2 linked regions of the Oryzias latipes genome follow. The protein of the gene in region 1 interacts with the protein of each later gene in a pairwise test. Links are inferred from orthologs where the notes say so. Each region holds a gene or a part of one and is shown in the gene's direction. Other genes may lie near its edges.

What was found. The genes of interacting proteins can lie anywhere in the genome.
Region 2: the proteins of coiled-coil domain-containing protein 158 (region 1) and gpsm1 interact in a two-hybrid assay, tested with the Homo sapiens proteins (2 studies listed by BioGRID and IntAct). The link is inferred for Oryzias latipes from reciprocal best matches to the Homo sapiens genes CCDC158 and GPSM1.

The regions. Positions count from the first base shown.
Region 1 is NC_019867.2:1,915,596-1,919,352, reverse strand, and holds the start of coiled-coil domain-containing protein 158, read left to right. Parts: upstream 1-1,011; 5' UTR 1,012-1,244; coding exon 1,245-1,332; intron 1,333-1,400; coding exon 1,401-1,458; intron 1,459-1,958; coding exon 1,959-2,089; intron 2,090-2,305; coding exon 2,306-2,454; intron 2,455-3,403; coding exon 3,404-3,522; intron 3,523-3,590; coding exon 3,591-3,757. Other genes in the region: cyclin-G2, read right to left, coding at 1-290.
Region 2 is NC_019870.2:10,829,209-10,832,865, forward strand, and holds part of gpsm1 (G-protein-signaling modulator 1), read left to right. Parts: intron 1-511; coding exon 512-582; intron 583-661; coding exon 662-832; intron 833-3,657. UniProt on the Homo sapiens protein: Guanine nucleotide dissociation inhibitor (GDI) which functions as a receptor-independent activator of heterotrimeric G-protein signaling.

The DNA.
Region 1 (3,757 bases):
GTTTGGGTGCTGTAGCCAAAGAAAGTGGTCAGGCCCCACAGTTCCTCCACCCGGCTGTCCCGGCACTTTGCAGACACCCCACTGGAGTTCTTTGGGCGGAGGGGACATGGAAACATATTTATACCACTGCAAGAAATAGAGAAAGACGTGAAGCAAAAGTAGGTCACCTCTGCAGGAGTGGACTCCATCAGCTTCAGGCCCGTCTCTCTGGGGAGAACGCTGTCCTCTTTGGCACAACATACCTTCAGCTTTTTTAAGAGCAAACTGTCAATGCCAGGAAGATCCCTCATCCTGGAGAACAGCCACACACAAAGAAAAACAACGAGAAATGTCACCAAAAAATGATTCTTATAGGCTGAGGAGATGAGCCCACGTGACCGTTTGAGTCCAAGCTGGGTAGGGGTCAATCACCAGCTGACCTCAGACTGTAAACACATGTATGTATGCAGACATGATGCTGGTTTCCAGACAAAAACTGACGTGTGTGGAAAATATGCAAGAAAGAAAATGTGACTCCAGTCAGAAATTTTTTATCCTTTAGCTTAAAGACTAAATTCTCCGAAGCTTCATAATTGATGACGTTGTTTCGAAAAGGTTCTTTGCATTAACAATGTAATGTAGAAATAGAATCAATGTGAAGCCCAGACAGACAGGTATGTGTCCTGGCTTAGCTAGCTAGCTAGCATGCTAGCCTCAGTGGACAGACAGATCCGCTCCTCTCGGTTTACCTCGCCGAGACGCTTCCGTCGTGTGAAACACCCGAACCGCCTCGAAAAGGTTCCGAACATCATTAAATCATCTTTACGTCGACGTGTTTACACAAACAAACAAACAAAACAAGACGGTCGACGGGGCCACCGGGGCGCGACACCCCGAGAGAACGGAATTTCACCCGCCCTCTACCCGAATCACATAAACTCTGTTACCCATCATGCAATGCTTTGGGCGCGACGCACTAGCGTCACGGGTGCCTGTCAGTAGTTTTGGCGTCCTTTTCAAACTCTGAGCTGAAGCGGCGTCACTTTCACAGGCGAGTTACAAACAAACTAAACTCTTGAGCACATTTGCTTAGCTTTAAAACATCTGAAATGTTGACCGGTGAAAAAGTAAAGGTCAGGTTTCTAAAGCTAAGGGCGGATGTTGTTTCCATGGTGACGGAACCCGTTTTAGCTAGGCTTGTTCGCTAAATCTGGGGTTTTTTTGCTCGTGTTTCCGGTTTTGGCGTCAAATTTTAAGCAGAGAATATGTCATCCGGAGATCAGGGTTTGGACCTGGCACCGGACTTTTCTCTTTCTGACTTTCACCCGAAAGAGGAAACACGAGCTAAAGTTGGTAAGTGTAGAGACGTTATGACGTTTTTCCCATGATCCTTTGCTAACCCGAAGAGCTCTTTTCCACAGGAACCCAGAGCGCATCTCTTGGGCTGGGATTCAACAGTCTGACTCTGGATGAACTGAGGTAAAAACAACATTTTTTAAGCCATGGAAAAAATCATTCTCCTTGAATGTTCTTTTATAATTAGAGGATTATTTGCCAATGTATTACATCCAATACTTAAAATGCTGTTTGTGCAAGAAGTCCTGTGGAAAAATATCTACCTTATGTTATCACAGGCAGTAATAATATAACTAAGTGGAAGAGTTTGGGTGCACACTTACACCAGGTATTGGTGACCAAACCCCGTCATTTGTGCAGTTCAGACCTCCAAACTGCATGTGGCCTACAGGTTAGCTCAAGACTTTCATATGGAGAACGCAGAGACTTGGATTTCCAGTACCAACCGGTCCAGGAGTTCCAGGAGTTGGTTGCTGGCTTGTAAAGCAGCTACTGAACTCTGAAGACATGTCAGCAAATACACGCTGTGGCTTTCAGATGGCAGAGTGGACCTAATGCTCGACCTTTGCAGAAAAAAAAAAAACTTTAAAGAATGACAGCTGCACAAACTTGTGTTTTTGTAGTGAGGAGCTTGACAGACGCACAAAGGAAACTCGGAGACTCCAGGAGGAGGTGGAAACAGAAACCAGGGAGGCCTTGGAGAAGTTCGGCTGCACTTACAGAAAATGCTCGCCTGCACAGACTGTCTGCCATGGTTAGTGCTAGTCATGATAAAACAGATGCGCTGACTATAGTTAAAGAAAAAAATACCGTCCATAAGTTCTGTTACAGCCAGAAAAATGTATTATTTGCAGTAAAAATGTCTGCTAATTCACATTTTTGTGGAAATACAGAAGCTTCCTTGTAGCTTTTTGCACCAACCTTTCTCACAGAAACAATATCTTTTTAAAGCTTTTTGCTCTTTTGGCAGACGACTCATCTGAAGCTTCAGGCAGTCTTTCAGCCCTTCAGGAGCCTCTGACTCCTCCTTGGAACCAGGAGGGGCCCCTCAAAGAAGGAGGCTCCTTCAGAATGGATCCAGTGGACGAGCGTCTTCAACAGTTTTCTGATTTCAACAAGGTCCATATTTAGTTTAGTTTAGTTTTGTCTCCATAGCAACTAATTTCTGTTTTGGTTGCCTGCGGGTGACAAACAGGTCGATGTCATTTTTAGGACAATCGGCAAAAGTAAACTTTTGGGTTTCCTTGGCAACAGAGGTTTTTTGTTAACCCCGCCCACGTTCCTAATATTTTCATATTTTATGTTTATACTGTTTCTTTCAGCTTGATCCAGGAATTTTTGTAACATATTTTCACAATATTCCAGTAAAAAAATATCCGAGCAAAAGGCGAGCGCCACTTTTACGAGGTCGCCACACTAACCACGTTCAAAAATCTGCAAAGATCCCCAAATATCTTCTCAGTGATCCTCAAAGAGTTAGGAGACCATAGGATCAAAATCCCATGGAGGAGTTTACGTTTATAGAAGGTACTAAAGGTGATTTTTATTTTATTTTGAAAATTCCAGATGGTGGCCTCTTCCTGAGGTCAAAGGTCAACAAACTTGGGTTGTGGTTGTGGACTTCGTCTGGTGACGTGGGTAAAATTTTGTGAAGATTGCTCAAACAAAAATGTTCCTTTTCCTATATTGTGGAAAAAAATGTGAAGGTCACCAAATTTCACCTAAAATGACCACCAAGACAAAAGTCCCCTGGCCATCCCATAATAGTTTGAAAGCTGTCTTCGGATATCTCCGACTTGTGTGTGTTTTGGTTTCATTTGTGGGTTTTGAGCTATTTTTTGAGTTTGTTTCTTTGACAGTTTCTCGCACCGTGATGTCATCGCTTATTTTCTTTTTTTCCTTGGGTGTTTCACGGTGTCAGAAACGTTTACTAGGTGAGCGTCCATTTTTGCTCAAAGGCGCAGGAAGACAGAAGAAGAAGAAGTGTGGCAATAGTCTGGTCCTTCATTCCAGGTCTGACAGAAATAAATGTCATCAACAGTTTTCTGAATTCTGTCTTTTCCCATAGTTTTCTGTTTCACTTCAAGTGGGAAAAACAAGCAGAAGTCTTTCTCACAGAGAAATCACGAACCTGCAGGAAAAGCCTCATGAAGCTCAGATGGAAAAGGATTTGCTGTCTGACCTCAGGTTAGCACGGATGGCTCTTCTGTCCATAAGTCAGGTCCGTGACGTTAAACGCAGTTTGTCACTTTTAGATTGAAGGATTCCAGGAAAAACGTCGACCAAATGGAACAGATGCTCCAGATGCTGGAAGACGTTCAGAGCATCAAAAGATCTGTGAGCCAGAAGCTCCAGGAGACGGAAGAAGAGGCGACGGCTCTTCGCCGGACAGTTGAATCTCTGGAGCAAACGCTGAAGGAGG
Region 2 (3,657 bases), on another chromosome or scaffold:
TCATGGGTAATTTTGAACAAGATTTTTGGAGTTTGTTTTTTACAATCCTTCATCTCAAAATAAAATTGAAACATAACAAGCGAATATTTAATATAAGTTGAGAAAGTGTTTGTATTCTGTCCATCCTGAGGCTAAATAACACAAAGAATTTTTTTGTTCTATCATTTTTGAAATGGCGGGCAAATGAACCACAAACTCGTCTTATATAAGGAAGCAAAGAGAAGCTGGTCTGTCTGCAGAGTGTTTTACCCTTCTATGATCTTTAAAAGAATAATCCTCCTTTGGGCGAATACACACACCCACATCGCTGATATCTTTCTTTAGAGCAGAGCTGGCAAACAGATGCTTATTCAGTTTGCCTGCTTGTCTCCTCATATCACCACAGAATATCATAGGTCAATCAGCACCATTGGGAAGCCAGGAAAGATAAATGGACTTATCAAATAACAGATTTAAGCCTGAACTGTATGAACTGTGTTTTTAGAGCTTATTTTTCTGTGTTTTTCTGCAGGTGCAAGACCCAAAAGCACCATGAAAAACAGCACGGACAGTGTGGAACTGTGGAAGTACTCTTCAGATAAGGTGATACACGAGTCTAAAATGTTGGTACTCTGCAGAACGATGCCTATCAGTCTTTCGCTGACTAATTCTGTTACTGCAGAATGGTAATTGCCAAAACTTAGAAGGTGCGCCGAGAAGATCCAAGGGTCAGCCATGGCAGTCCGTTAAAAGAAAAGGCTGTTCGGACAGTCAGGGGTCAGACGAAAGGCCGTGGTTGGACTCTCCCGTAGATGCAGATGACATCACAGTCCTAGTCCCGCCTCCTGTAACTGTAAGATGTTTCTGCGTCTTTTTGTCGTGGTGCTTTAACTATCATTTCCATATGATGTCCAGATGGTCGCCACAAAAACTAAATCTGTTTAGTTTTGGTAACAATGAAAGAAATGTTTACCTCTAAAGCTTTTCATTGTTCTCCTCATAATGTAGCATCAGCGTTGGCTTTGCCGCTTTGTCAGATGAAGAGTTTCGTTTAACTTTACTCCACTGGAGGGAACCATTGACTTTAAATGAGAACTGGACTAACTGGGCATAAGGTCACCCATAGAAAATGACTTTCTTCATCAAAATGAAGCAATTACAGCCGCCATTTTTTCACGATTCGGACGGTGCGTGTTGGAACCAGACAGCGTGAGTAAGGAGAGAGGTCTGAGTCGATCTGACTCATCATTTCCATAGCAACCCCTCTCAACAATCAGGTGTGAGCCTGTTGGAAGTTCACACTCCTACCACTCGAAAGCGAGCTTAGGAAAATCTGTTTAACGTTACAAACGTTTGACTTGAGACCCCATGCTTTTATTGAGGCATCTGATTAGCCAGTTTATAACTTAAATAACTTGCAATACAGAAAAAATATCATGAAAATTGTTCCTGTTTGGAACACGAGGGAGGAGGGGTCACTCAGTCCAGTTTTTATCTAAAGTCAATGGAATGAACATCCGGACAATAAACCTTTAAAATATTTGAATCAAAGCTCTGCTGACAAAAACATCCGGTGAGCTGAATTCTAAAGGCATTTCCTCGATTATTCCCATGATTGCTGACATTTTTTCAAGCTCACATCTGAGTGGATATAAATACCAGCAACATCTTATTATGAGACCATGTGACTTCTGTAAGTGTTGTAATTAGCAGGCTGACAGGAGGAAAACAGCCTTACAGCAATTAATCCTACCAGATAAAGAAAGCAGGCCTCCATATTTTATGTTTTTATTGGTGATACAACTAAAACCTTGCTAAATATTTATGTGAAATTCAAAAGCATCAGGGATAATCCAGATATGACGTCTTTGATGCAGCTCGATTAATCATGTTTGAAAAATACTGGGATTAGACCTAATAGCTGGTTTTAAATCCCTTAAAAGCTTCAGTATTGTCGCACACAAAAATTGAAGTCACTTTTTCCTCTTTTTGAAAATGTGGGCTCTCTGGACTAAAAAAAGAAAAGAAAAGTTGTAATGCTTATAAAGCTGGGAAAATAGTGCTGGAACTTTTTTTTTTTTTTAGTCTGCACTGCTTCTTTTCCTACAGTTGTCCTTTGTTTCAAACCACTTACTTTCTTTACTTTCACTCTCCATCCCCCTCTTCGCGACCTCCTCATCATCACATGATCCTTTCTCTCGTGCTGTCACATTTTCCTACTTGATTAATTAGACTTTTCAGGCAGAGCAGCGGCGAGATCCACAAAACCGCCATTGAGGCCAAGGACGGCGGACAGCAATGGCTGCAACTCCTGCCTGATCACAATTATTAAAGTGCAGAAATAAGTGCTTTTTGTCAGTTGATCTCTGCTGCTGCGTTAGCTGTTAGGAAGCATATGTACTCCCAGCTGCCCTTGCAACCATGCTTTTTCCTCTCTCCCCTCCTCCGTCTACCCCCAGCTCTCCCTCCCAGCTGATAATGTGACCTTGATCACAGAACGACTACCCTCCCCACAGGGTCAAACGCCCATCTTCCCATAATGAGTTGTTTTCCCACAGTGGGTGAACAGGACAAAAATGGCCTGCCAGAGCGCCGCCGAGAGAGGAAGAGGGAGAGATACAGAGGGAGGGAGAGGGTGAAGAGGAGCTTAACAGGAGGGATGGGAGGTGCACATGTTACAGCAGGAGAGGGGAAGCAGGGAGCGCGATTAGTTGGTCAGTAAGGAGGAGAGAGGGAGGCGATGTAGACAGAGAAAGAGCAGCTCAGAGACAAATGAGAAATAGAAGGCGCTCTTTCTGCTGGTAAGAACTTTTCTTCACAATTTCGGACTAAAACAGACACGTGGTAAAAGATTTCATTGCTTTATCCTCAGCTTTTTGTACTCAACAGATTGTTTACTTTATAAACTTTCTTGACCTAAATTTAATCTAAAATTCTTTTCTGACTGACAAATACTTCATCTGCCCATCAAAAACCGATCAAATCTATTTCTGGCTTGGTGATATTTTGGCATACGTGAGGATAAATGTAAATAAACATATGCAGAAGGTTGATCAGCTTGTTGACAGGAAGGATTGTTAGTCTTTTCTTTGTTTTTTCATCATCTCGGAACTGTTTTTGTCCAAAAAAAAGAAAGCAATTGCAATAAGGTTCAACTTCCTGAATGTCGGAATACGGACAGAAGATTTGAAAAGTAATTCCTAAACCAATAACTTATTATTTATTTTTCTGCTCATAATTATCCAGACACTGCTTTCGGTTAGTGAAGCAGCTGTTTTGCCGTCAGGCCCTCAGCCTGCTTTAGGTGTCAGAATGAACTCCAACCACTGTTGGACTCAATATCTACAGAAAGTCTTTTTAATGCTGTTTTGAATCTAGTTGTGTGGCCAGTTTGATAATCTGGTGATGCAAAGACACGCAAAAGTAAATATGATGCAGATTTTATAACAAAGAAATCCTTTTATTGACCGAGATTTAGGTTGAATTATTTTATTGTAATATTTTCCTGTAAACTGATTTTGTGCTTACAGTAAAAGAAAAGAAAAAATAATTTTTACTTTTGTACATTTAATACCATAAACAAATACAAAATAAACTTTTTTTTAATTGTTTATGAAAATGAGTAAGAGTGATTTAAAAAAGAAGTATAAAAAATACAAAATTTAAAATTGAATATCA